7 linked regions of the Cricetulus griseus genome follow. The protein of the gene in region 1 interacts with the protein of each later gene in a pairwise test. Links are inferred from orthologs where the notes say so. Each region holds a gene or a part of one and is shown on either strand. Other genes may lie near its edges.

Region 1 (4,252 bases):
TATAATCGTGTGTGTGTGTGTGTGTGTGTGTGTGTGTGTGTGTGTGTGTGTGTGTGTGTGTGTGTGTGTGTGTGTGTTTGCTGTGGGGTGGAGGTGGAGCTGCAAGAAGAGGCCAGAGACATGTGATCCCCTGGAGCTGGAGTTCCAGAAATTGTGAGCCACTTGATGTGGGTGCTGGGAATTAAACTAGGGTCCTCTAGAAGAGTAAGACACACTCTTGACCACTGAGTCCCAATAGTGGTTGTTGTAAAATGATATGTTTCAAATACATGTGTTTTCTTAACCCTTTCCTGATTTTTCCAAAATTTCCACCATGAACACATTAGTTTCATAGATTTTATGGTTATTAGTGTACAGCCCAAAATCAGTGCTCAAGATCCTAGAATTTGGAAGGCAGAGGAAGGAAGATGGGGAGTTCCAATTCCGACCCAGCTGTATAAAGCTCAAGCAGCCTGGACTAGGTAAGCCCCTACCTCACACAAGGGACGTGAGGGGAGGAGAATGGAGAGGAGAAAAGAAAACGAGGATAAGAAAGGGAAAGAAAAACAATAACCCAATATTTAAAACCCGAAGTACCTTGTCATGTGGCTCAATACAAAGAAATATTGTGGGTACAGCATTCTCCTTCAGTAATTTGTTGTTGCACTCTCTCTTAAAGCAGTCTGGGGTAAAGTGCTCTGAACAAATACTGCTGTATTTAGTAGGCTTGAAGTTTTTTCTTCTAACAGCTGCCTCCCACTGTTTACAAAGACCGGGGCGAGTCAGAGGAAACCTAAGAAGACAAAATTCAGTTCTCTGACTTTACTAAGAAAAAAAAAATAAACAAAACCACCCAGCCAAGAGAATCTGACTGAAAACTGGATCCTGTTACTATCTCACTGATTAATGCTCATCTTTTCATAACGAAGACACTGACAATGCAAGTAAAACAGACAGTGTGCAATGCAATTCTACTCACATTTTTACTAGCACTTTTGTGTTTTGCAGTAAAACACAAATCCTACATATGGCTGTATCCTGAGATAGACTTCTAGCTCTTCCTGAATCAGCCCAATAAATATAAATAGACTAAATCCTGACTGCCTGAATTATAGGCAAATGATTAAGAAATAAAGGACATCTTTTATTTTATCACTTAACCCAGCCTAGGTAATGAGGACCCTTTACATCTATTGTCACTATGCTTTTCCATGTCAAAGACTTGGTGGTACACTGGAACTGGAAAAAGACCAAGAATGTTCAATTTATGCTTCATAATTATTCCACCCCATAAGGTGCACCAGACCCGATCATGCTTTTTTTTTTTTTTTTTTTTTTTTTTTTCATGAAGACCTAAGCAATCTTCATGCTAGTGCTTATTCTTTGCACAGCAAGCTTTCTGCACTACCAGTAGATACAAGCTGGAAAACGACGTATTTCTAGAAAGAAGTACATACCAGTGGGGAGTTGTTAGAAATCTTAGTATCTAGTCTCCCAGCCTAGGAGCCCAAATTCTTCGAGGTCTGTCAAGATTTTTGCCATTTATTGTTCTTTTAAATAATGGATAAGATTCGTGTTAGTCCTTTTATTTTTCAACATCCAGCAGCTGAAATAGTATTTTTGATGTGTGTCATCTTAAACTTATTTTAACATTCCCCCACTTGCCACCCTAATTTAAGCATAGGGAAGGGTGGTGGCAAGTTGAATGTATATCCCCCCACTATTTCCTGATCTATTTATTCCTACAGGATGAAGATGTATGAAATTTCAGAAATTCCAATCAATCAAGTAGTAGTATTAGGAAATATTCTATCCTCTTCCCAGACAGAAAACATCAGCACACTTATCTCACTTTCTACCAAACATTCTTTTGTTACAAACCAAAACAAACAAAACCCTGAAAGAACATTTTGAAATTTGCTTCTGTAATTGTTTTGCTATGGATAACTTGTATAATTTACCAGTGAATCTGATCTCTTAGCTATCGTTTGCATACAGCCAGGAATTCTTTCAAAAACCTAATGTAAAATATAATAATGAATTTGGCTGCTTAAAAACATCACATTTTGTGGACCATTATCACTGTTAATAATTATCATTAGTAACGTTAATTCTGCAGTTTTCTTCTTTCAAGAAAGTATTTTTCACCCCAGGATTCTTGTTTGTGGTACCTACCACATGAGCCAGCCAAGACATCGATGGCAAGGGCTGGAATTAGATCCTTTGCTACTGAATAAAGCGTGTTATCGTCCACGTTGCTATTACTGTGTGATGAAAGGCTGGGGTTCATCTTGGCAGTACCAAGAACTTCCTCTGAAACCCAAAGACCCTTAAAGGTTGGTTCCTTGAAACTGGGTCTACAAGTCCTCCCTGACATGCCGGCCGGTTGTGTTATCCCTTCTCCCAACTACAGCAAGGTCGGAAAACTGTCTAACTCCTAAGTGTTTCTCTATCACGTTGATGATCCCTTGGGACGAGATTGTGAGGGCTGCGAGGGACCTGTAGGCGTCACTCGCACGCCGGAAACCCAGCAGAGCAGAGAAGGCGCGCTCGGAGCCTCAGCAGAGCCGAGCCGAGCCGAGCGGAGCCCACGGGGGCGACGCGCAGCCACGGGTCCCCGCCCCCGGCCCCGGCCCCCCGCCTTCCCAGGTCTCGCGCGGACACGCGCCGGGCTCCGCCTCCACCCGGCCGCGGGCCCCTCGCCCCGGCCAGTCGGCCGGCCGGCCGGCCCACCGCCGAGCATGCCGGTTACCTACTTGTGGAAAGAGACAGGCTTGTCCTTATCGTATCGGTTCTTGCAGCCGTAGGCGGAACAGGACTGCACCATCCTTCCGGCCCTCCACACTTCCCCTCTGCCCGGGAGGCAGGTGAAGGGGGGGAGGTCTCAGTGTCGCTGCGCTCGGGCGGCTTTGACACGCTCGCTGCTTTCGGTGGCTTTGGTCAGCAGTTACACAGTGGCGATTACCTCACTGTGGGGGTGACAACTCTGTCCGTTGTGTTGTTTGCTTTAGCAGAAAGACCACAGCTTTCGCCCGTCTCCCATCTTCAAGATGGCGGAGGCAGCTTCAACCTCACCTCTCGCGAGGAGTTCGCTCGTTGTCTCTGATTAGCCGAAGGTAACGTTCCCAAGGAAGCCGACCATTGGCTGAGGCCAGGCGAGGCTCTGGGGCGTGGTCACCAGTGCGGAAGTGGGTGGGTCCGCCGCGCTTGGGCCGGAAGAAAGGGCGTTTGTTTGGGAGCCACACTCGAGAAGTCCGGGCTGTAGTGGTCGTTGTGGTTAATTTGCCCGTCGCTTTCTGCTGCAGCTTGGTAAACATGGCCTGTTGGATTCGGAAGCCTAAAGGAAACGTGGGAAAGCTCTAGTTCCTAGTAACACGTAATTTTTTTTTTAAAAAGGGGGGGGCGGCTTCGGAGGTGTAATTTGCACAAACCCAGATTCCAGGTGGTCGTCTTCTGATGGAGAACAAGGACAAACGTGCATTCCTTCTCAGAGGCAGAAGCACTTAAGAATGTTGTTACCGTCGTGCCGTGTCCGGCGCTGTGCTGAAAATTGCGAGCTGCTGTAATGAGATGGCTCAGAGGTTAAGAGCATTGGCTGCTTTTCCAGAGGTCCTGAGTTCAAATTCCCAGCAACCACATGGTGGTTCACAGCCATCTATAATGAGAACCGGTGCTCTCTTCTGGCATGTAGTCATACATGCAGACAGAACATTATATACATAACAAATAAATCCTTTAAGAAAAAAAGATGACATTCTAACCGGATGATCTGGAACTTGTCATATAGATCAGGCTAGCCTTGAATTCAAAAATGATCCACCAGTGCCTCCCAGTTAAAGACCTGCACCATCACATCCAGGTCCCATCATTCTGAAAAGGTTGGTGAAAATAAAACAAATGTCCATCAACAGTTCAATGAATAAATGTGGCATAGTCCACAATCAGTAGCAATCAAAATAATGAAGCTATAGGCTGGCCATGTAGCTCAGTTGGTAGTGCTAACCTTATGTTTCAGAAATGGGTAAATGAAACTATAGTCAGGAGTGGTTATTTCAGAGGAAAGATGCAATTAACAGGGTGGTGGCCAGTTTGTAACTCATTGATGGTGCTGTATGGCTAGCTACTAATAGGCCTGATAAAACGAGCTGGACACTCCCCTTAATAACAAAAAGACTGGACCTGCAAGATCAATTACTGGCCAGAAGAATGGGACTCAAGTCTTGTCTCTAGCCCTGAGAGCTGGTATGACATGCTGGTCTGCCTGTAGGTTAGT
Region 2 (3,751 bases), on another chromosome or scaffold:
TACTGCTTTTCAGGTCCTAAAGTGATTTCAGTTTCTCACTTATTGACCCTAAAAGGTGACTAAGATGGTGAGAGGGCAGTGCATCCTAGAACCAAACAGGAACTGAGGATCAAACGGGGTAGTGTGTACAAAGCACCTCACTTTATGGTTGCTAGCCTTCTTTGTACTTTCCCACAATAAACAGTCCTTTGAAAAATGGTTAACTTTATGAATTAAGACTGAAAGAACTTGAGTGGTAACTTCAAACGTACTTAAAAGAACAGAAACTTAGCTAATACACATAGCTCAGCAACTTCAGGAAAATAGTTAAAACCCATGATGCGTTGTTCCTCACTTGTACATAGCAGAAGTAGCGCAAAAGATGGCCATAAATCCTGCCTTTGCATGCTCTGAAGCAAATACAATCCACACTCTAGCTTAACAGTTCCCAAATCTCTCGCATGCGACCTTCATGACCCTTTCTTTATCTGCCAACTATATGAACTGTTCATCCAGAATTTTCTTTACACCAATTACTTACACTCAGTTTTGTCCTATTTCCACCAGGTAAGTCTGACATAGTAATTACATTTTTCTAACATACATTATAATATATAACTTCAAATACGTAATCTAAAATCATCTCATAAACACACACTGGTTTTATCTTCCACTGTTCTAATTATTGTGAAACAGCAACTTCCCAGTGAACTTTGCAAATATAAACTGTGTAACATAATAAAATGCTAAGTAGTCCCCAAAATAAACAACCAGTCAACCATGGAGCAAAAGGAAGCCTGAGAAGGTTTGCCCATCAGTCTCTATGAACTTCACAGCTCAGAACTAAGGTTAGGCAACCCTTACCTCTAAACTGAAAGAATTTCAAACATCTATAAACCTAACAACAACCACTGTGAGTTACTTTTAAATCATGGATCCTCCTCAAAGCCAAAATGTATTAAGGCATCCCTAAAGGGGAGTCAAGGAAAAGATTAAGAGAAAAAAGCTCCAAAGTCTTGATCATTTCCCCAAAAGGAGCTCAGCCTTCTGCCTCCTATGCTCAGACAGTCACAGCACAGGATTCGAATGGCAAACTAACCCAGAGACATGAGACTCACTTTACATTTTTAATCAATTGAAACAATAAGACAATGGGTTCAATGGTTAAGAGCAAATACTGCTCTTCCAGACGACTCAAGTTCAGTTCTCATCAGCATGTCAGGCAGCTCCCAAATGTCTGTATCCCCAGCTCCAGCACATATGATACCCTATGGCCTCTGCAGGCATCTGAGCTCACATGCACCTATGTACATGGACACATAAGTAAAAATAAACCTTAGGGGGGAAAAGCTAAAATAAAACCAGGCTTCCCTTGAAATGTGTTACAAATAAGAAGCTGACAACTGCAGCTGAACCTAAGGAGGGAATTGGCTACAGTTCTTTCAGATGAGCACAGAGCAGTCTTGGAACTCAGCTCTCAAAAAAGTCAAGAGTGATGGAGAGTGATCTTAGTCACCTCATGTGCACAAGCAAAAATGTGAGGAAAATCAGAAGCCAATGTTTTATTCTTTCTAAAGAAAAGGAAACTGAATGATAAAAGATGACCCCCCAAAATTATCTTACCTGCTTTCGTTCTCTTTTCCCAGCTGATGGTAAGCAGAAACTGAAGAGAGAATAACAGGAAAGAAAACAATAAAAGAAGTGATAGGAAAAGTAAGAGGGAAGACGATCACAGGTGGGATACTGAGTGAAGACAAAGAAGGAACTGGGAGCGATGCAGCTGAAGGAGAAGGACGCCAGCTGTGTGTGAACAACAGTCTCCCTGAAGTAACTGCAGTGGAGAAGGCAAAAGTGGAAAGCAGAAAACTAGACAAGGAAGAGCCAACTAAGACACAGCCTTATCTCAGCTGTGCATCGAGAAAAGGACTCAAACTCCAAAATCAGACTAGGTTTATGTATAGGACTGCTCTTGGGTACTGACCATAATGATTAAGGAATAAACTATACAATTTCTTTAGCATATACAAATGTGGGCTGCTTTTTTTTTTTTAACATACATAGTTGATATGTATGCATGTATGTGTGTGAATGGAGGAATGTAAGGTCACAGGTACACACGTGTGTGGAGGTCAGAGGTCATTGTGATGTCTTCCAAGCTCACTCTCCACTTCATTTATTGAGGCAAGGTCTCTCACTGAACCTAGAGCTCCCTGCTGGTCAGCTTGCCCTGGGATCTACTTGTCAAGGGCTGATATTACAGGCAGGCCTACCATACCACCTGCTTCTTTATGTGGGTGCTGGGGATCCAAACTCTAATCCTTATGCTTGATCCACTGAACCATCTCCCTAGTCCCAATATATATGTATTTATTCAGCAGATATTCAAATTTTAGCCATGGAAGACCCATAAGAAGACAAAGCACACAGCAAAGCCAACTGTTTAGGAAATGAAGCTGTTATGAGAAAGGCAGCTCCATTCATGATTCCTACTGCATTCACCATGGTAACAGGGACAAAAAGATTTCTCCTTAAAGAGGCCTGAAGGAGAACAGAAGCATTTGGAACAACCATTTTAAAAAAATTAAGAGAGAAAAATGCATTTAAAATATAGTCTCTTAGTGGTGGATATTAATATAACACCTAGAAACATAACAGGCAACAACAACAACAAAAAACTACTCTAGAAAGAAAAAGAAAAATCACTGTCATGATTTAAGACTTTAGCCATCTTAAAATTTTACTTTTTTATTATTGTGTATGTCATAGCATACTTGTGAGGGTCAGAGGACAACTCTATGGAGTTGGTTCTTTCCTTCTGGCTCTGGGATTAAACTCTGGTCATCAAACATGCAACAACAGGTGGCAAGCACTTTTAGCCATGAGCCATCTTGCCAGCCTGATTTTACCCATCTTAACTGTTAGCAAGCACCAATCTCTAAAATGCCCTCTTTCGGTTCTCAAGTCTAATAGAAAGATTGCTTTATAGAAACCCTCTCTACCTCCTTCTCCAAGGACCAGGCTAGGACAGCAGTAGGCACTTAGGTACTTACTCTTTCTGCCGGGGGTCACTGATGATATGGCTTATCCTCTCGGTTCCTAGACTGCTTATGCTGGTTTCCTAAAAAGATAAGAAAAAGAGTGTCATCAAACCACAGAAGCAAATATATACAATTTAAGCTGTTACCAAGCTAAATTTTTCTCTAACCATACCAAGCAATCTTAAGGTTGTATCAATCTTAAAATCCAACAGCAACTATTTTTTTTTTAATAGGAGTACATCTTAGAAGTATCATCTATTACCTAGCTATTCTCTGCTGACTTAAAAGGCTTTTAAAAAGCCGTTATAAATACTGTTTGTTGGGCTTGGGATATTTTTCTATTCTAAATTTAGTTTTGTATAAGTGTGTGTGCGCAGGTACACGTGTGTGGGCACTCATAAGTGTGTGCATGAGTAGAAGCCAGAAGACTATCTCAGGTGTCATTCTTCAGGCACTGTCCACATTTTTTGAGACAGAGTCTCTCCTGGCCTGAGCTTAGCTATCTTCCTCCTCCCCAGCGCTGGAATTACAAGCATGCCATTGCACCCGAGGTGTTTCTCCCATATTGTTCTGGGGAACAATCTCAAGTCCTCCACAAGCACTTTGCCAACTTGAGCAATAAACTCCAGCTCTGTTTATTTTTTAATTGACACATAAGTGAAATATAAAACTAATACCAAATACTGTTTCTTTTTCTTTTTAAAGATTTTATTTATTTATTATGTATACAACAT
Region 3 (3,751 bases), on another chromosome or scaffold:
GCTAGATCATCTGTTGTATATCAACATTAGAAAGCCTAGGAATATACCAGCTTTTATTCATTAGAAAACAAATTGAAAAATGTTCTGGATTTGGTTTTGTGTGTGTTGCTTAGAGCAAACTAAGGGCCTCACACAAGCTAGTCAAGAGCTCTACCACTGAGCTGTATCTCTGTCTCCCAGATAATTAAGTTAAATGAGTAAACATTAACCTGGATAATTCGAAGAACAGAAATAAGAAAAAAATTAGCCAGGGTATGAAGAGAGAAAGGCAATTAAAAAATACATCTAAGTGGGAGGTCCTTAGGTGAACAGAGATTGCATGGGGTGTTGTTGGTATTTTTAAAAAGATTTCTTCCGTGGTCTTTCTTTAGCCCCTCCCCACTTCCCCACCCCCCACACCCCCGTGTGTTTGTGTGTTGTGGAATATTTGTTTAGCCAGGCAAAGATGTATTACATCTGTTAATGCTGTATTTGTTTAACTATGTAAAGATACATTAATTAAATAAAATTAACCTGGGCTCAGGGAGGTGAGGTTAGCAACAAGTTTACTGGAAGTAACAGGGAGGAGCACGGCGTGGGTTTTTTTTAGTGCAAGTGGTGTGGAAGAAGGGAGGCTTCTGGGGACACCAGCAAAGAGAAAGTTAGCAGTTGCTACTCTAACTCTCTGAGCTCACAGGTTTTCACCCTTAGCCTTTGAGTTTTATTAGAACCATAGAGATTTAGTTAAAGCTACCTTTAGTTATAAAGCTACCTTAGATGGCAGCAACAGGGCAGGATCGCCCCCTGTCCCCCAGGCCTGAGCACACATGCTAGGTGCTCATGAAGAGCCCTGGAAGCTGGAGTTACAGGAGCCTGTGAGCTGCCTGAGGTGGGTCATGGAATCTGAACTCTGGCTCTCATGACAGATCAGCAAACACTCTTAACCACTGTGCCATCTCTCTGACCTCCTGTTTTTAAACCTCCTAAAAGGAATCACCAAATTTTATATGGACTTTCAAAATATTTTACAAATATAAGGTCCATAGCTTTCATTTTCTTTTCAGTTATCTATGGCTCAAAATATCCTAGAGTTTAACCTATTACTCTTTTACTAGTTGAAGATGAAATACAAACTGATCAATTTTTTGTTGTTGTTGTTTTGTTTTTTTGTTTTTTGTTTTTCGAGACAGGGTTTCTCTGTGACTTTGGAGGCTGTCCTGGAACTAGCTGTTGTAGACCAGGCTTGTCTCGAACTCACAGAGACCCACCTGCCTCTGCCTCCCGAGTGCTGGGATTAAAGGCGTGCGCCACCAATGCCCGGCTCCAAACTGATCAATTTATTTATACTTCCATAAAAATTTTTTAAGGACAGGATTGTAAGTAAAATACCCAAATCCAAGGTAAATCTATGATTTATCACAATGTACTATCACAGGTCACTAAAAGGATAAAATCACCTAAAACTCATGAATATCACCAAGCCTCCAGATTTAGTCATCTAAAGGGGATGGAGGTATGAGTAGAACCATTAAGATACAGTCCAGTCTCTGGGAAAGTCTGTAAGTCTAATAAGCAATCAATATGTGGTATTAGGGCCAGCAAGATGGATAAAGGCACTGCTGACCTGAGTTTGATCCCCAGAAGCCTTATGGCAGAAAGAAGGAACCAACTCCTGTAAGTCCTCTGACTTCCATATATATACCCTGGCACATACTGTCCCCTCAAATAATAAATATATAAATGTAAAAATAAATAGGAGCCAGGCATTGGTGACACACGCCTTTAATCCCAGCACTTGGGAGGCAGAGGCAGGCAGATCTCTGTGAGTTCAAACCCAGCCTGATCTACAGAGTGAGTTCCAGGACAGGCTCCAAAGCAATACAGAGAAACCATGTCTCAAAAAACCAAAACAAATAAAATAAAATAATAAAAACAAATAGGTAGTATCAAAATAAGTTAAAAACCAAAACAAAATACAACACCTAAGAACACATATTACCGAAAGAACACAAAACTAAAACCAGGCATAGTGGTTCATGTCTGGAATCCTACATTTGGGAGATTGCGGGAGAGGGGATGTGAGTTTGGGGCTAGCCTGGGCTAACAGTAAGACCCTGTCTGAAAAAGTAAAACAAACAAGCCCCCCAAAATGCTTGGTGGAGGAGTGAGATGTGTTGAGAAGACAAAAATCTGTAACTAACAAATCAATAAATAATAAAATTATTTATAAATATGGACATAGAAAAAGATTTAAAGAAGAGTAAAAAGTGATACTTTTGGGGAAGTGGGTCTAGGTAGAGAAGGGGGACAGCCAGGGACAGTGGCTTTTCATTAAAAATTCTTTAATCTGGGGCAGAGAAGACTCAGGGTTAAGAGCAAAAATGGCTACTCTTCCAGAAAACCTGGATTAGATTCCCAGCACCCACATGTTGGCTCATGACCAACAGTCTGTAACTCTAGTTCCAGGGGGTCCGACACCTTCTTCTGGCTTACAGAGGTACTTAGCTTACAGGGGGTACACAGACATAATGCAGACAAAACACCCATAAACATTAAATTATTTAGTTCATTAAATATATGTATTATTTTGATGAACTCCAAAACATATTCTAAAGTAATGAGCAATCAGAATCCCATACTGTGATCTCAGCTCCTCTGGAGACTTACCTCCACTTTGATGGCACACCGTCCAATGGCCCTCACAGCTTTGCGAACAAAGTCCACGTCAACCTCGGTGGCGTATTCCTTCAACTCTGCCAGGACCTGTCAAATAACCAAGAAGTGGATAATCTTTAAAAAGTCTCAAACAGCAATTTCATGCCTTCTGAATGCCAGCTCTTAAGTGCTAAGCCGGTATAAATTTGGGATGGCTGAGGGTCGGACCTGAGCGATGTTGGCTTGGGATGCAAGACGGATCATGATGTCCAGCTTCTCCAGTTTAACATAGATAGGGTCATTGTACTTTACAAAGAAGACTTTGATTTCCTGCTTCAGGATCTCAGGCCTGTGATACACAAAAACACAAGAAAGAAAGATGACAGAAAGCAGTTACTGACATATCCCACTCAGCCTTTCTGCCTGCCCATTTCAGGGGGGAGAAAACCCTCCCAAGGGTCCTGTATAAGCATCTATTTTGCCTACCCCTCCCTCAGCCCCCACATAGTAGCAGTGCTACTATATAACATGTTTGCTTGCACACAATCAAGCTCTGTGCCCGGCACATGCTAGGCAAGTATTCTCCCACAAAGCTACACTCCCAGCCCATCTGTTCTCCATCAGTTCCTTCTGACAACTGATTTGTGTCCTCTCAAAGGAAAAGGGGTATGTGTTACCCCAGAGAATTGCTAAGGAAGAACAACCTGGTTTTCAACTAAACTCTTCCATGGGTAGCATGTCCAAAAGAAGCAACATGGATGGGAGTGGTGGCACACACGCCTGGCACCCTCCTTTACTCCCAGCATTTGGGAGGCAGAGGCAGGTGAACCGCTGTAAGTTCGAGGCCAGCCTGATATACAAAGAGCCTGTTTCAAAAATAAAAATAAAAACGAAACCACCCTGAACTGCAACACCAGATACATATATTCAACTACTGAAAGAATGGTAATAACTATAAGTTGCTATTTCTGAACAAGTTGTGCTACTATACAACATTTTCACTTCCACACGGTGAAGAATAAGAGATTAGCATCAGTCTATGGAGCATTTATTTATATTAAGCTTAATTCAAGATCACAAACATTTTAAAGTCACTATTTCCTCACCTTTTCTGGAC
Region 4 (4,261 bases), on another chromosome or scaffold:
CAAGCATTTCTGACATCTTACATGTTGCTTATTGGCTTCACTACAAAGAATAAACAGAATATAAGTCTTAGAAGTTTTGTCTTCTCTGGGCGTTGGTGGCACATGCCTTTAATCCCAGTACTCGGGAGGCAGAGGCAAGTGGATCTCTGTGAGTTCAAGATCAGCCTGGTCTAAAGAGCTAGTTCCAGGACAGCCTCCAAAGCCACAGCAAAATCCTGTCTTAAAAAACAAACAAACAAAAAACAATAACAAAAAAGTAGCTTTGTCTTGTAATACTTTCTGACCTATAAAGGCATATAGTGATGTTTACTCTAACAGACACAGAAATAGTTATGTGGATCAATGCATGCAACCTGGGATTAACAGAACAAATCTTGGCTTCTTTAAGCCCAGTGTGGTGTTTCATGCTTGTAATCCTTCACTTTTCAGGCTAAAGCAGGAGAATGGCTGTAGCCTGAGCTACAGATCGAGAGATCCTGTCTCAAAGCAAAACAAACACATAAAAACAAATATTGTTTTTGCTTTCCAGTAATGATGCACTCAGAGCAACATTTTTAGTTCAGAATGCAAAGGATAATTACAGACTTTTATTTTACTTTATTCTTTGTAGTGCTAGATAGATATTAAACTCAGGGCCTCCTACATGCACACGGAGCAAATACTACCACCAAGGTAGACCACTAACCCATTAAAACACTTTTAAGGATGGGAGATGGCTGGGTGGGTAAGGGTGCTTCCTATATGCCTGAAGATCTGAGTTGGATCCCTGGATCTGTATGGTGGAAGGAGCAGAGAACTGACCCCAACAAGTTCCTCTGGCCTCAATTCCTATACACACACACTTAAACCGCCCCCCACCCCCAACACACAGAACAGGGTTTCTTTTCTTTTTTTCTTTTTTTTGTTTTTCGAGACAGGGTTTCTCTGTGTAGCTTTGCAGCCTATCCTGGCACTCACTCTGGAGACCAGGCTGGCCTCGAACTCACAGAGATCCGCCTGCGTCTGCCTCCCAAGTGCTGTGATTAAAGGGGTGCTCCACCAACGCCCGGTCACACAATAGGGTTTCTATATGTTAATAGCCCCAGTTGTCTTGAAACTCTGTAGACCAGGCTAGCCTTAAACTCAGAGATCCACTTGTTTCTGCCTTCTGAGTGCTAGGAATAAAGGCATGATCTAACACATCTGGCCCAATACTCAGGTTTATGACTAATAAATCACAGCTTACATCAAAAGCAAGAAAGTTAAAAGCAAGCAGGTAATAGATCCATAAACAGTATTTTCCTTTCAGTTTCACATAACTTTAAATCCAACATGCCACTATCACATGGCCATACAGAGGGTGAACATAACATTGCTGGGAGGTTTTGTTTTAAGATGAGGTCTTGCCAAGTTTGGTGGCACATGCCTTTAATCTCAGTACTCAGGAGACAGAAACAGGTAGATTTCTGAGTTCCAAGCCAGCCTGCTCTACAAAAGTGAATTCCAGGATAGCTAGGGTTGTTACAAAGAAACCCTGTGTCGAAAAACAAGACAAAACAAAACAAGCCATCTTGTCACTTAAGTAGCCTAAGTCTGGATCCAAAAGAACCAGTTTAAGAGAGAAAAGGGGTGAAATGAGATCCTAGTAACTTAATTTAGCACTGTTAAAATTAAGGTTTTTTAAATTTTATTTGTTTATTGAGCCATGGTCTCAGTATGCAGCTCTGAATGTCCTGGAACTAGATATGTAGATCAGGCTAACCTTGGGCTAAGTGCTGGGATTAAAGTCCTGGGCTATGGCCAGGGATGGTGGCTCAAACCTTTAATCCCAGCGCGTGGGAGGCAGAGGCAGGTGGATCTCGGAGTTAGAGTACAGCCTGGCCACAAAGCAAATTTCAGAACAGACAGGGCTATGTGAAAAGACCCTGTCTCGAAACACCAATCAAAAATAAAGAATGGGAGCAAAAGAAATTAAAGGAAGCGTTCGCCTGTTATAGGCCATCAAGTTTCCTAAACAAAATTCTTACCAGATTGAGAGAGATTAAATAAAGGTGTAAATTTATTAATTCTTAAACAGCTAGCTAGCTTTGACAGAAAAAAAAAGTTCTCACCGCCTCAAAGCAATTATACCATTGTCTAGCGTTTCTTTTCCCAAGCCCTCTGGTGACTCGGTCTTTCCTACGCCTTTCAGCCTGTCTTGAAATGTCACCCCTCCACTAATGTATTTCCAGTCCAACTAATTTGAAGAAGCCTTTCCCGTATTCCCATCACAGCCTCTTATTTCCTACAAAGATTTTTAAAACTACCAACTGTACTTGTTCAGAGGATTAACTGGTTCCACATTTAGACTATAAGCTGCGTGTCCCGAACATTTTTCTTCACTGAAAAAAAAAAAGGCATGGAGTGGTAGGTACTAAAAGAACTATTTACTGAAGGAGAGAGTCGCAGAAAGTGAGTCGGTAGATGGGAAAAGAGTAAAGGCATTGTAGACAGGCTTGTTTCTAGGAAAGGCGGTAGGAAGGAGACCGGAAATGCTGCAAAGGAATAAGTGGGAGAAGTTTGGGTCCTCGGGAGTGAAGGTGTGGGAATCAGGCATCCAGGCTACCTTGACAAACGTGTGAGACGGACAGAGGATCATAAACCACACAACCAACAACCCTTGGATTCATTTCGGACTCTCCGAGCCCGCTCAGTCCCGCAGCCCGCGCCAGCTCACTAACTAGCGGACTGGCGTCTCCACACCCACAGCCCTCTCGCAGACCCCACTGGGCGTCGTCTCACTTACGCTTGTCTCCGAGCTATCAGCCGATGCATGGGAGTCGCCATCTTGGAGCTGCCGAGCCTGCCGCACAGGCTTTTGGGAAACTCCGAAGGATGGGGCGGGGCCTTCAAACCTCCACGGCCGTGGGCGGAGCCAGACCGGTTTATCCCAACAGAGGTGATTGGTGGCCCCCCGCTGGTGTGTTATGTCAAATGTGGGCCTTGTGTTTAGTATGAATATGATTAGGACCTTGAAGGGTGAAATTAGCGTTCAGAAAACCTGTAATCCCAGCGTTCTCGAGACCGAGGGAAGAGGGTTGCTATGTGTTCAAGGCCAATCTTGAAAACAGTTAAGACCCTGATTCAAAACAAAATTCCGGCTTGGCTGACCACTCTTTTAATTTCAGCACTCAGAAGGCAAAGTCAGGCTGGTCTCAGTGAGTTGTAAAATGTTGAGGCTAGCTTATATACGAACCTATCTCAGAAAAAAAAAAAATTAAAGCAGGGCAGTAGTGGCTCACACCTTTAATCCCAGTACTCCAGAGGCAGAAGCAGGCAGATCTCGCGTTCAAGGCCAGCCTGGTGTACAGAGTGAGTTTCAGGACAGCCAGGGCTATTACACAAAGAAATCCTATCTCAAAATATCCCCCAGTGCTGGGATTAAAGGCGTGTGCCACCAACGCCGGGCTAGGCACAGGGTTTATATAGGGCTTCTTAGGGGCAGAGTTTTTCCAGGGTGGAGATTGGTCAGATTTCAATGCCTGGGTTTATAATGGGTAGATCTCCTGCTCAGGGATTGGTTAGTTTTCTCGAAGGTTTAGGGTCAGATTTGCCTCTGGTTTCAGGGCCAAAGTGTGTTTCTTTCACTGGTCCTTTTTAGCCTTTGGGCTCCAATTTTAGGGCCAGAGTATATTTCTTTCACTGGTTCTGATTCCAGGGACAAAGTGTGTTTCTTTGGCACTGGTTTCAGGGTCAGGGTACATTTCTTTGGTTCTGGTTGCAGGGCCAAAGTGTATTTCTTTGGCTCTGCTCAGGATGTGTTTGTTTGGCTGGGCCTTTTTCCTTACAAAAACAAACAAAATTATGCCCTGGTGGCACAAGCCTTTAATCCTAGCACTTGGGCAGAGGATAGCAGATCTCTAGGAGTTCAATGTCAGCTCAGGCTATAGAATTAAAGGGCCAGGGAAAGAACATGGTTTTTAAATGGCTATTTTGGCCTTTTTTTTTTTACAACTCTAATAGTGGTCTTATTCTCGAATGGTGGGATTAACAACACAAAGATAGAGAATAATAAATAATGCAAGGGAGCTTGTCTGCAGAAATAGAGAAGGAAGCTGATATGCTGAAGAAACAAAAAGGAATAGACCTTCCTACACTTGGCTATCTTGTCTTTTGATTCTTTTTTTTTTTTTATTTTCCTGCAAATTGCATGAGGCTTTATTGTTGTTTAACGAGCTAACCCCATGTTAGCTCGGGTCTTTCACCCACCTGCCATGGCGGATGGCTAGCAAAGACAGCTCGA
Region 5 (4,228 bases), on another chromosome or scaffold:
TGGTCTTCAAAGACAGTTTCAGGACAGTATCCAAAACCTACAGTGAAACCTGTCTCAAAAAAAAAAAAAAATAAAAGAAGAGTCTCTTAATATTGAAGCAAATCTGGGATACACAGAAAGTATGGAGGCAACCCTGGGACTCATAGTGTGACTGTCTCTAAAAACATCAACAAAAATTAGCTCCATTCCCTTATTTGCAGGAAAATCTGTGTTCAATAAATCAAAAAACAAACAAACAAACCAGAATGTAGAAATAGATCCAATCAATTCTGCTTACATGGTAAATAAGGGGATTCAGTGGGTACAGATGGAGAGATTACAAACTAAATGTTTCACAAAGAAATAGGTAGCTACTAAAATAACAATTTAAAATCTCTATGGTTATAGGTATAGCTCAGTGATAAAGCTCCCTTACATGTGTGATTCCTTGATTCCACACCCACTTCAAGAAAGTAAACAAGCAAATCTAGAACTTAACTCAAAACTGATTCAAAAATAGTAATCTCTGATGATACAGAAGTTAACATGTAAATTACACTATTAAATTACTATAAAATATAAGTATCACTAAAATATTTCTATTACTGTAGCTATAGATAAGTGGCATTGCAGTATTTATCATGCAGCCCATTGCATGTGTTTTGATTAAAATTACAAAACAATAAGGCAAAGGTAAGCATGTTCTACTTAGCATTATATTGTCATCCATCACTAATGTGCCTGTCACATAAAAGACACAGGCATTATTGGTTGAATGTTGGAATAGATGGACTTTTCTACATTTTAAATTATAAGAACCTTCATGGACATTTGTAATAGGTACAGAATTACAAAATACCATAAGGCTTAGTTCATGCTCTAATTTCTAGGAAAATATCCTATGTTTTGAAGTGCATTAGTAGGCCAGTTATAGTATATATGTATATGTAAATGTATGTATATCTTCCCATAGCAAGACTCTGGTTAAATATGCCAAGGCAATTATTATAACAGAATAGAGAACTATTTAAAAAAGGAATTGATTATTTCCCATGAAAACAACCATAAATCAGTAAATTATAAACCATCATATGATGTCACACAGATAAAACAGAAGCAGATGTATACAAGCATAAGGAAACTTCTGGAAGGAAATGCATCCAAATGTAAAAACTAGTTATCATTTGGTTGTCAAAATTAAACATTGACTATCATCATAATCTTTTATATTGAAGTTAATCTTTAAAATGTACACAAAATTTAATATTTACACATAAATACAAATTCATTTTCAAAATCACAATGCATTTCTTAACTTAAAACTGTATGACTGAATAAAAAGCACAAACTCTATAATAAAATCAAGTACTATACAAAGGCTAGTCTCCTTTTAATACATTTCTTCATTTGAAATTAATAATGGAGTATATTTTATATTTTAACATAGCACTAATAGTCTATGACCAAGTTTAGACAGTGAATGTGGTAAAGTGGGTTATTTTCTCATTTGTATGCCAAGTCACCTCTATGGATTTTTCTGCTTGTCTGCAAATATCACGATATTTTCCAATCAAATCTTTAACAGATTATAGCCTGTGAATTTTTATTTAAGTACAGATGAGCAATTCTGGTCATTCATAAAAAAAGGGGGGGGGACGGCTAGTAAGTATGTCCTTACCTTTCAATGAAAAGTAAACACTGGTCTTTTTGGTTGTAGCAGAACTGAATCCTGTAAATAAAAATAGCAAATATCTGTTTTTAAACTTCATTTAGCTAAAGTTTGTTTACATATTACTGGGCTTATAAATCAGCATTTAATATGGATACAATTTCAAATTAAAAGGAAATTGGTGGCAGATGACATCTTAAACACTTACGGATGCTGCACTTGCCTTAGAACAAATCCCCCCTCCCATCCCGCTGTTAGTGGAATTGAAACCTGCTGCATGAAAGTGCGAAACAAATCCTCTGCTTTAAAAAAATATTACCTTACATTTGAAAACCGCTTCGTTTTGTCTAAAATTTTGCTACAAGCATTGAAAAGGACTACGTGGCAAATTAGCAATAAGATTAGAGTACATTACATTATATGCCAAATTTAAAACAGAAATACGACTGAAAAAATGGTGTAACTGACTCACGGCAACATGGGTTCGCAAACCTTGTAGATGGCTATAAACCAGGCTTGCCAAACATCACAGACAGGACTTATTAAATCTGCTACGTGGAATGCAATATGCCTGCTGTCTAGCCCCTCCCCCCTTTGCCAATAAACGACTCCCCCTTTTCCAGTGTGAAAATACATGCTCATGGAATATTTAGAGAAAATCATGTTTGTTTGAGTGCCCCCCCCTTCAATCATCCAGTCACACTATCCAATGACGCCACTCAGAGCGTTTTCACCCCCCACCCCCGGTTAACAGTTTGTGGTGTGGAATTCAGCCAAATGGGGGATTCAGGATGGGCAGCTGAGCTAAAGGGATCCTCTGTTCCATTGCTAGGAACTATAGCTGGCGTTTTTACCTCATGGCTACGCATTTTTTTTTCTCTCCCTGTGAATTAAAAAACCACATAAGGAGAGAATTTTGGGAGGGGGAGGGAACCTGTCTTTCGGGGGATGGAGGGGGGGTTGGTGCCTCAGCCACCAAGGAGCATCTGGGAAGGGAGGAGGAGCCAAGAGGGGGAGCCGCTACTTCCGACCGTTCCTTGGCTGGAACGCCCGTCAATCGGGGCTGGCCAGCAAATGAGGCGTGAACTAGAGGCACTCTGGGAACGAAATTGACGCGAGGGGCGTCATCAAGGGGAGGGGCTCACCATCCTCAGCCAGACCCCAATCGCCGATCAGAGTCCCGAACTGCGCCATTCGACTGCGGCACGGCTCGGCCTCTGCCTGTCTAGGCCGAGACAAGGCCCCCGACCAGGCCTGGTCGCCTAGGCCCCGGCCTGTTTCCGCTGCCGCGGCTTCCTGCGCGCCCTCCCTGGCCCCGCCCCTGCCGCACCTCCGCCGCAGTAGCCACTGCAGTCCCTGCTGCTGACAGTCCCTGCCGCCACCGCCGCCGCCACCACCGACCACCACCGCCGCCACCGCCGCCGCCGCCTGTGCAGCCCGGGCCTTCGCAGCCGCCTTCAGAGCATCCGTGAGTCATTTGCTGCCGGTCCCCGGGGGCGCGATCTCTGTTGTCACCACTTGCAGAAAAGAGGTGTGCGGGGGCTTGCGGCATGGCAGACGCCGATCCTAAAATGGTCACAGAACCTGCCGCCCAAGGGGTTGCTGAAGAGGTCATGGCTAGCTCAGCTAGTGATTCCGGGGAAGAATCTGACAGCAATAGCTCTAGCAGCACCTCTAGTCGCAGCAGCAGCAGCAGCAGCAGCAGCAGCAGCAGCAGCAGTAGCAGCAGCAGCAGCAGCAGCAGTAGCAGCAGCAGCAGCAGTAGCAGTGGCAGCAGCAGCGGTGGCAGTCGAGTGTACCGAAGGAAGAGGGTGCCTCAGCCTGTCAGAAGGGGCCCGCGGCATCCCGCCGGGAGGTTTTTCCTGGATAAGCTACCGCAGGCAGTGAGAAATCGGGTGCAGGCACTCAGAAATATTCAGGATGAGTGCGACAAGGTGGACACCTTGTTCTTAAGGGCAATTCATGACCTTGAAAGGAAATATGCGGAGCTGAATAAGCCTCTCTATGATAAGCGTTTTCAGATCATAAATGCAGAATATGAGCCTACGGAGGAAGAATGTGAATGGAACTCGGAGGAGGAGTTCAGCGGTGATGAGGAAATGCAGAATGACACACCTGATGAAATGCCGCCCTTAGAGGGTGAGGAGGAAGAAGAAGCCCGTAAAGAAGAGGCTGGAGTAAAGGAAGAAGGAAAGAATGTTCCAAATGAAGTTCCTGACGCAAAACTTGAAGGTGAAGCTCCCAAAGAAAGTCCTGAGGTGAAAACTGAAGAAAAAGAAATTCCAAAAGAGGTTCCTGAAGAAAAAGTTGAAGCAAAGGAAGCCTCTGCAGAAATTCCTGAGGTGAAGGTTGAAGCAAAGGAAGCCTCTGAAGAAATTCCTGAGGTGAAGGTTGAAGCAAAGGAAGCCTCTGAAGAAATTCCTGAGGTGAAGATGGAGGCACAGGAAGCCTCTGAAGAAATTCCTGAGCCAAAGATGGAAGCAAAGGAAGCCTCTGAAGAAATTCCTGAGGCAAAGATGGAAGCAAAGGAAGCCTCTGAAGAAATTCCTGAGGTAAAGATGGAAGCAAAGGAAGCCTCTG
Region 6 (3,751 bases), on another chromosome or scaffold:
ACCGTTGTGAGGAACAGGGTGAGGGTTCTATGGACACTAAGAAGCCACTCCTCTGAACTGGGAACAGAAAGAACCATGAATGACTCTCACCTCTAGCCACAGGGGAGGCAGGAACCTCCAGGGACTGAACCAAAACACAGAGCTTCAATAAATAACCAACTCTGTTTTATCCACACCCCAGTGAACTGACACAGTAACTGGAGAGAGCAGCCCTAATACCAAGTACCGGCTGGGTTGAGGGAGTGCTGACATCAGGTAACTCCAGTTAGCTTCCAGAAGTGAACAGGGACCAAAGCCTAGAATGGCAGAGAAAGCCAACCAGATCAATCCTCCTGCCCAGGACTAGAGCCACACACAGATGCTGTCGTAAGCCTTCGGTGCCTTAACCTAGGTCTTTAACTAGATCGTTGGTCACCAACTGGGCTCCTGGTGTCCTCCTATCCTCCCTGGACCAAGACAGGTGAGCGCTGTCATTCCATGGTGACAGGAACATCTTCTACATCTCTGGGGACTGCACTCTGGAGCTCACGTCTGATTTCCGGAGACAACTGTGGGTGGGGCTGCAGTCGAAGCAGTTCCAGGAGGGCCTCCTTCTGGTCCGTGGCCAAGTCGGCCTTGTAGCGTTGTGCCAATGTCAGGAGGCACTGGTGCCAGAGCACAGGCAGCTGGCGCTTCTCCGTCCGGAAGCCCAGAAAATGGAAGACCAGGGCGTCTAGCACCCGGTATGGCAACGCATACTTCTTATCTAACAGCAGGCGCAGGAAAATGCTGTTAGCGCCACTGTATTCCATCTCGGCAATCTTCAGCATGGCCGCACTAGGAGGGAAGCTGGAGTTAAGGACTAGTGGAGAGATTCTGGACAAAGTGTCTCCCCAGACTCACCCTAACCTAGAGCATTCCCAAGGTGTCCCCGCATCTCCTCATTAGTACACTCCTGGGATTGATTCTCTTTACCGCCTGTCTACATCCATCTCACACTTCTGCCTCTGGCCGGGATAGCAAACAATCCCTGCATTCAACTCGATAGGGTGTGTCTAAATGTCTCACCACTCCACCATTTTTCACACCTTTTTCTAGGTATCCATTCATTCATGCCGTCATTCAACAACTATTTACTGAACACCTACTGTGTGCCAGGTCTTTGGATCCTGCCCTCGAAGGCTTCTATTCTACTGGAGGAAATCATATACCTGCTGGTTTAAATAGCCACAGACTCTAGGTAATCATAGCTCATTCTCCCTTCTTGCCCTCCTGCCAAAGTTCTGGCCTCTCTACTACATGACTCTCCACCGACCTCACCAACACTACCTGGAGTGCAACACAGGGATGGAGCACTTGGTGATGATGCTGCCCACGATGATGGCTTCTCGGAGGGTACATGTGCCAGACTCGCACAATGGGATCAGGATTCCTAGGCAGAGTCATATACAGGGACTTTTAGTACCCAGCAACCCCATCATCTAAGGACCAACAGTGGAGATAGCCAGTTGCCAAGCAGAGTACTGACCCTTCCTTTCTCTCCTAATTCTGGGTTTTTACCTTTGAACCAGGCTCCAGGTTTGAAGAGGGCTTTCTTGAGTGCCATGTAGAGGTGAAAGTTGAGTCGTTTGTACTCTGCGATGTCATCTCGTACTCGGGGAAGCAGGACAAGGTTGTAGAAGCGCTGAGCCATCCGTTCTCTCAGATTAGAGGCAAAAATCCTAGCAAGGTGGGAGTTTGCAAGTCACAAGAGTCTGGCCCTGGCCTTTTAAGTATCACCATGCATGAGAGAGGTTTTAGAGTAAGATATGGGGACATCACTTCAGAGAGGGGTATGTGAAGTGGTATGTGAAAGGTTCAGGCATTATGCTGGCCTGCCTCTGTCACCTGGCAGAATCCACTCAGGCAGTACCCTGGTAAGCCCAGGGTTCCATGGGAACTAAGTCTGCACGCAGGTGGTATAGAGGAACCCTTTAAAAGACAGACCCTGCCCACTTACACTCTCTTCTCTTCTCTTCTGCTCTCTCTGCCTCTCTATGGCAACCGGTCATGGCGGTCAGCCATTAACCCCGTTCCTCTTCTTTCTTAGTCTCTACTCTACCGGGCTTATAATAAACTGGGTAATACATCTTAGTCTCATGTCTCATCTTGTGCCTCTTCTTCATTTCTAATTTAAACAAAAGAATAACAGTATGCACACCACACCCAGGTCAGCTTAAAGAGGAGCTACTTTGCCTGCAAGTAGGTCTGTGCACCATATATGTTCCTGGTACCCATCGGATTTCCTAGAGCTAGAGATGGTTGAAAGCCTCCACGTGGGTGCTGGGAATTGAACCCAGGTCTTCTAGAAGAACAAGTGCTCTTAACCACTGAGCCACCTCTCCAGACCTAGCATTTTTCTTTTGTTGGTTTTTCGAGATAGGGTTTCTCTGTGTGTAGTCCTGACTCTACTGGAACTCACTGTGCAGAGCAGGCTGGCCTAGAACTCACAGAAATCCACCTGCCTCTGCCTCCTGAGTACTGGGATTCAAAGTGTGCACCACCATTGCCTGGCCCCTAGTGTATTTCAGACAGTGCTGTTGCTTAGCCCCATGGCCTTTTGTGCATTATTTAAGCGAGGCACCTCGAGCTTCTTTCCCAGTCCAGTTTTTGGCTGGCTACTCTCCTTTCTCCACCATGAGGGACCTGAGGTCACCGGAGAATTCTCAGAATTCTCGAGCTACTCTTCTCTCACACCAGGGCTGTATCCTGGAAGCTATGTAGGCCCTTCCCATGGAAGTCTACCACAGGACTTTGTCCTGAAAACACAGGAGGAGAAGTTAAGGGAGTAGTAGGAACAAGTCCAAGGGAGAGAGCCATGGGCTGGCCAATGACATGGCTGAGGGAGGCAGAGTCTACTCACCACACCCTGCACCACAGATCAGCCGCCCTAGACCATCTACACTACCTGGTGGCTTGATACATAGCAGCTGCAGTCCAGGCCTCAGGCTCAGTGACATAGAGGATTTGCTCCCAGTTGGACAGTGCAGGGATGATCTTAAAAGCCTTGGGCAGTTTCCCACTTCGGTACTTGGATAACACCTGGAGATGGAGGAGGCAGAGCCATCAGCACCCACGGTTGAGGTCCTGGCCCCGTCCCTGCGTTTTCATGCGCGGCCTCACTTATCTTCAGAGCAACCCAAAAAGGCTCATTTCTCAGGTGACCAGAATTTAGTGACTAGACCCTGAGCCCACTGGTTCTGCCTCAGTCCTTTTCTGTCCTGGCCACCATGGCTCACTCGTCGGGTGCCATGTGTGAGAGGCTTCCTGTTAGGATACCCCACCACACATGCCCTCACAGTCCTTACCTCCCGGACTCCTCTGTAGACCTCCAGGACCCGGGGGTCCAGTTGAGGCATAGGGAAGCCCGACACCTCTGACATGACCGTCTCCACCTCTGTCTGCTTCTCTGTCAGCTTCTCCATGATGATGTCAGCCAGTGTGCGCCTATGGAGACAGAGGGGACAAGGGTGAAGAACTAGGGTCACTCTCCAGGAAGCTCTAAAGTCCCCTCACCCTGTTCATGAAAGGAAGGAAGGACAGACAGAAGACAGCCAGCCAGCCATAGTGGCACGAGCCTTTAAGGCCAACACTTGGGCAGATCTCTGTGAGGTTAAGGCCAGTGTGGTGGTCTTCATAGGGAATTCCAGGTCAGCCAGGACTCCGTAGTAAGACACTGTCTCAGAGGAAAAAAGGAGCCACAAAACAGTCCCCAAACAAATCAGGAATGCTG
Region 7 (4,533 bases), on another chromosome or scaffold:
TCAGCCTGCCTCTGCCTTACAGGCAACCATCATTCCATCTGGCAAGACTCAGTTTCCTTACCTCTTCTTTTTTAAGTTTTTAGACTGCTTTTGTGTGTACAAGTGTTTTGTCAGTGCCTGCAGGGTTCAGAGGAGGGTGTTAGATGGCTATGAGCCACGTCAGCACCCGGTTTCCTTGTCTCTTGATGAGAGGAAATTTGAAGGGGGATGTCCTTCTGTATATATGTTTCTTTTACTGGTTGATGAATAAAACACTGTTTGACCAGTAGAGGCAGGATGAAAGGCAGGCTAGGAGATGAGGAGAATTCTAGGAAAGGCAGAGAGAGTGTACAAAGACACGCCATGTAGAGACCAGGAAGACAGGATGCACCAGGCGTTCTCTGGTAAGCCAAGACCACGTGGAAATACATAGATTTATAGATATGGGCTAATAATTAAGACAGAGCTAGCCAATAAGAAGCCCTAGCCATCTACCAACAGTTTTATCATTAATATAGCATCTGTGTGCTTATTTGAGGCTGAGACAGCTTCAGAATCCAGCAAGAAAAAAACTACAACAACAGAAATTATTTGGTCAAGCTTACCAGCTTGTTTCAAGTTTAAAAGGTGACATAAAAAAAATGTCTGAATGCCCCAAAAGTACCATTAAAAGAGGAAGGACACAGAGGCAATCAGCTTCCAATAGTCAAAGCTGCACCAATTTGAACAACAAACTGCTACTGGACTATAATCCAATGTCTAAAATCAATACCTACAAGTCTACATTGATATAATCAAATGGGTGAATGCATTAACGAAGGGGACACATTTCCCATACTGAATAATTTAAAATCCATAACCCTCTAATTCTTTAGATGAGCAGAGTGACTTCCTGCCAAATGATTCAATGTGCAAAGGAAGGAAAACACAGTGCAGAGAACCAACACACACTCAGCCAGGTGGGCAGGTCAGTGTCATCGTAAATCTTGACAACATGGAATCCTTGCTAAGGTGCTGTGGGTATGGCAACCTAACCCCATCCCTTTAATACATAAACCCAATCTTAAGAATAAGACATAAAATAGGAGGGTACCACACAAACACACGTACAGTTTACATCGTAGTATGCCTCAAAGGTCCACAAGAGAAAGGCTTGTTCCTTGCACTGGTACTACTGGAAAATCTAGGGCACTGAAGAGAGCATCACAGAAGAGGACTGTGGGACTCTGGTCTCCTCCCCCCTTCTCTCCTCTCTCTCTCTCTCTGTGTATAATGAGCAGGCATGGTAGCCCATGATTGTATTCTCAGTCCTCAGGAAGCAGAGGTATGAATATGAGCTCAATTCGAGACCAGGCCCAGACCAACAAGCACCACAGGATTGTGGACTGGAATCTCCAAAGCTGTTAGCCAAAATAAACCCCTTCTCTTTAATTAATTATCTGAGGTATCCATTACACAGTATCTCTCAAAACTTTGAAAGTTCACACAAAGTCTAAAAACTGTCACAGCCAACCAAATGCAATGCAGTAACCCAGATGAGAACATGGAAGGGTATTTTCGTAAAAAGGAATTGAAAATAAACATATGTGGACTCTGGCCGATAATCATGTGTAAGATGTTAATGAAAGAGGAGTTGGTTTGAGGTTACATAGGGACTCTACAGATTGTTTTCTCAATGTTTCTGTGAATCTACAACTGTTCTAAAAATTAAAGTGTATTAAAAATGGTAACCAGGCATTGTAGCAGACACCTGTAACTTTTAAACCAAATGTTCAAGAGGAAGAAGGCTAACATGGGTGATCATGGCCACTTTCAGACCATCTTTGGATACATGGTAAAACCCTGTCTTAATAATAATGATAATAGTGATAATAATAATTAATAAATAAGTTGCAATTTAAAAAAACATTAATGAAGGCTTGCTTTTAGAAAAGGTGTTTTGTTTTGTTTTGTTTTGAACTTAGGAGGAATACTCTAGGGACATGACTTCATCTAACAAACAAGAGGTTCAGGCATGCATGAACACATGTCATTCTTCCCTTTTTTTTGAGGCATACACAAATGGTTGCATTGTCAAACTCTGGAATGTACTAGAAATTTTTAAGTGTCTCCTCCCATTCACTCCACAAAGTTAAATTCATACACCTTTTTATTCTTTTTCTTTTCTTTCTTTTTTTCTTTTTTCTTTCTTTCTTTTTGTTTTTTGGTCTCGAGACAGGGTTTCTCTTTGTAGCCTGGCTATCCTGGAACTCACTCTGTCGACCAGGCTGGCCTTGAACTCAGAGATCCATCTTCCTCTGCCTCGGCCTCACCAGTGCTGGATTAAAGGCGCATACCATCACCATACTGTTTACACACCTTTTTTTTTCCCCCTAAAGCAAATTAGTTAGTAAATCATCAGGGAATAATACACAGCTCCAGGTACAAGTGGCTAAGCTAGTTTAACTCTGACATAGTAAATAATCCATAGACAGATGACAGATAGATAGATAGATAGATAGATAGATAGATAGATAGATAGATATAGATAATAAATAATAAAATAAATAGGTGGAGACCTGCCTTTGGTCATGCAGGACTCCAAGCCAGCAGGTAGGACTTCATCCGGGTCCCGCTCACTTCTGGATCTGGGGACTGGAAGAGACTGGAGTAAGTCTGGGCTGGACCTGAGGAGCCATGAGCACAGCGAGCTCAGGGCGACAGGCCCACAAGCGAGCCGGGGACGCGGCGGGTACCCGAGCTCGCCATCCCCGCGCGCCAGGGCCTGTCCAGCAGCGTTGCCTTGGGCCCACGGCCACCTTCGCCGTCCCCACCCGGGCCGCGCGGCGGAGCCACGGTGTCCTACCACGGCAGGCCGCACTCACCCGCGCCACTCTCGGGGCCCGGTCACTCCTCCCCGTCAAGCTGCTCAGGGTGCAGCGCCCGGGCCAGCAAGCTGGCAGCGAAGCCTCCCCGCCCAGCAGTCTCCCGGCGCGCAGTGCCCTCCGCCGAGATTTCTCCGGGGCCGGCCCTGGGATTGGTCCATGCCGAACTCCGCCCTCCAATGGGAACTTCAGTCTGCCTGACGTCACTGATCACCGGGCAAATCCCCAGGCCGCCGCCGTGGAGGTGAAGCGGCCGGGCCCGAGAAAAGGAAAGTGAAATCGGAAGTGGCCGGTGCGTCACGGTAGTCGCCCAGCGGCTGAGGTCGCGCGAGGCCTAGTGGTTTAGCGTGTAGGAGCTCCCCGACTTTCGGGACCCCGTTTCTGACTCCCTGGGCCTAGGGGTGTGTGGTCGGAGGTGTCTGCAGGGGCTGGGTTTCCGATGGGGTTTCCTCCGCATGGTCTGCTCAGGACAAGACCAGACATGAGTCTATTTAGTATTTCCAGGATCCATTTACAGAAATTGCCATTTGCAAAGCTCCCAGCTAGGATGCTGCGGAAAATAGCCGTGCATGTACACACAGTGATAAGCGCTTGCCACCGAGCCAGATGACTGGAGTTCGAATCCCATAACCCCCACAAGGTGGAACGCCAGACCAGGCTCGTCCAAGCTGTCCTCTGACTTCAACATGTGTGCGCTGGAATGCGTGCAACCCTACCCCCTACACTAAAATAAACGCAAAACGTTGAAAGATCCCGGCACTAGGGAACGGAGGCAGGAAAGTTCAAAACCAACCTAGTTTGAATTTGTCTAAAGAGGAGACAAACTACAGAGTCGGCAAAATCGGTTCTTAGGCCCTCCGCAGGAGCCGGGCGAGCCTGCAGCTCCACGGCCGCGCCTACTGGGCTGCAGGCCCAAGCAGCGCAGGGCTTTCCGCTGCGCCGGAAATGGGCGAGCAGCCCCGAGAAGCAGCGAAGGCTCTCCGGGTTCCCCCATCCGGTCCTCGCTTCTAAAGAGGTGGTCTCAGCTGCAAACGGCCTCCTCCGAGCCCTGAGCCTTAACGTCCCGCCCCTCCCCGCGCTGCGGGCAAGATGTTGGGAAAGAAGGTTTCAGGTTTCCTGTGCGCTCCTGGAGGGGGTGGGGCGCGGCTCTGGCTGCCTTGCTCCGGACACCCTAAAATCACTTGCTACCTGCTCTTTTTTTATTTTTTTATTTTTTTTATTTTTCCTTTTTGGGTTTTTCGAGACAGGGTTCCTCTGTGGCTTTGGAGCCTGTCCTAGAACTCACTCTGTAGACCAGGCTGGTCTCGAACTCACAGAGATCCGCCTGCCTCTGCCTCCCGAGTGCTGGGACTAAAGGTGTGCGCTACCACCGCCTGGCTGCTACCTGCTCTTTTAGTTGGTGGGGTTTTTGTTTGTTTGGGGTTTTTCGAGACAGGGTCTTACTGTGTAGCTCTGGCTTGTCCTGGAACTCCCTCGTAGACCAGGCTGCCCTCGAACTCGGAGATCCATCTGCCTCTAGGATTGAAGGCGTGCACCACCGCCACCTGGCCTTTTTATTTTTTTTAAATTGGTGTTGTACGAAGAAACGACGTTTGCAATGTGTTAAGCTCAAACCTTGGCACACATGTTTGAGGTTTATTTAACATATCAAAGCAGACCTGACCGCCAGGTTCTCCCAGCATCCTTCAGT

What was found.
Region 2: the proteins of Thap1 (region 1) and Gpatch2l interact in binary tests that used the Homo sapiens proteins (3 or more experiments, as listed by UniProt). The two-hybrid records come from large-scale screens. The link is inferred for Cricetulus griseus from reciprocal best matches to the Homo sapiens genes THAP1 and GPATCH2L.
Region 3: the proteins of Thap1 (region 1) and Ap2b1 interact in binary tests that used the Homo sapiens proteins (3 or more experiments, as listed by UniProt). The two-hybrid records come from large-scale screens. The link is inferred for Cricetulus griseus from reciprocal best matches to the Homo sapiens genes THAP1 and AP2B1.
Region 4: the proteins of Thap1 (region 1) and Zcchc10 interact in binary tests that used the Homo sapiens proteins (3 or more experiments, as listed by UniProt). The two-hybrid records come from large-scale screens. The link is inferred for Cricetulus griseus from reciprocal best matches to the Homo sapiens genes THAP1 and ZCCHC10.
Region 5: the proteins of Thap1 (region 1) and Fam133a interact in binary tests that used the Homo sapiens proteins (3 or more experiments, as listed by UniProt). The two-hybrid records come from large-scale screens. The link is inferred for Cricetulus griseus from reciprocal best matches to the Homo sapiens genes THAP1 and FAM133A.
Region 6: the proteins of Thap1 (region 1) and bystin interact in binary tests that used the Homo sapiens proteins (3 or more experiments, as listed by UniProt). The two-hybrid records come from large-scale screens. The link is inferred for Cricetulus griseus from reciprocal best matches to the Homo sapiens genes THAP1 and BYSL.
Region 7: the proteins of Thap1 (region 1) and Trim26 interact in binary tests that used the Homo sapiens proteins (3 or more experiments, as listed by UniProt). The two-hybrid records come from large-scale screens. The link is inferred for Cricetulus griseus from reciprocal best matches to the Homo sapiens genes THAP1 and TRIM26.

What each region holds. Positions count from the first base shown.
Region 1 is NW_023276807.1:57,657,618-57,661,869, forward strand, and holds the start of Thap1 (THAP domain-containing protein 1), read right to left. Parts: upstream 2,874-4,252; 5' UTR 2,807-2,873; coding exon 2,736-2,806; intron 2,557-2,735; exon of another isoform or gene 2,160-2,556; coding exon of another isoform or gene 2,155-2,159; intron 773-2,154; coding exon 577-772; intron 1-576. UniProt on the Homo sapiens protein: DNA-binding transcription regulator that regulates endothelial cell proliferation and G1/S cell-cycle progression.
Region 2 is NC_048598.1:117,540,942-117,544,692, forward strand, and holds part of Gpatch2l (G patch domain-containing protein 2-like), read right to left. Parts: intron 3,098-3,751; coding exon 3,030-3,097; intron 1,643-3,029; coding exon 1,603-1,642; intron 1-1,602.
Region 3 is NC_048600.1:96,571,509-96,575,259, reverse strand, and holds part of Ap2b1 (AP-2 complex subunit beta), read right to left. Parts: coding exon 3,741-3,751; intron 2,984-3,740; coding exon 2,863-2,983; intron 2,743-2,862; coding exon 2,647-2,742; intron 1-2,646. UniProt on the Homo sapiens protein: Component of the adaptor protein complex 2 (AP-2). Adaptor protein complexes function in protein transport via transport vesicles in different membrane traffic pathways.
Region 4 is NC_048600.1:67,476,685-67,480,945, reverse strand, and holds the start of Zcchc10 (zinc finger CCHC domain-containing protein 10), read right to left. Parts: upstream 2,922-4,261; 5' UTR 2,806-2,921; coding exon 2,765-2,805; intron 41-2,764; coding exon 1-40.
Region 5 is NC_048604.1:52,767,171-52,771,398, forward strand, and holds the start of Fam133a (protein FAM133A), read right to left. Parts: upstream 2,913-4,228; 5' UTR 2,794-2,912; intron 2,595-2,793; exon of another isoform or gene 2,503-2,594; intron 2,258-2,502; exon of another isoform or gene 2,121-2,257; intron 2,095-2,120; exon of another isoform or gene 1,968-2,094; intron 1,709-1,967; 5' UTR 1,658-1,708; intron 50-1,657; exon of another isoform or gene 1-49. Other genes in the region: Nap1l3 (nucleosome assembly protein 1-like 3), read left to right, coding at 3,199-4,228.
Region 6 is NW_023276806.1:255,587,482-255,591,232, reverse strand, and holds the end of bystin, read right to left. Parts: exon of another isoform or gene 3,735-3,751; intron 3,466-3,734; coding exon 3,327-3,465; intron 3,061-3,326; coding exon 2,927-3,060; intron 1,701-2,926; coding exon 1,540-1,700; intron 1,412-1,539; coding exon 1,309-1,411; intron 817-1,308; coding exon 471-816; 3' UTR 144-470; downstream 1-143. UniProt on the Homo sapiens protein: Required for processing of 20S pre-rRNA precursor and biogenesis of 40S ribosomal subunits. May be required for trophinin-dependent regulation of cell adhesion during implantation of human embryos.
Region 7 is NW_023276806.1:228,909,890-228,914,422, forward strand, and holds the start of Trim26 (tripartite motif-containing protein 26), read right to left. Parts: upstream 3,002-4,533; 5' UTR 2,844-3,001; intron 2,614-2,843; 5' UTR 2,538-2,613; intron 318-2,537; exon of another isoform or gene 1-317.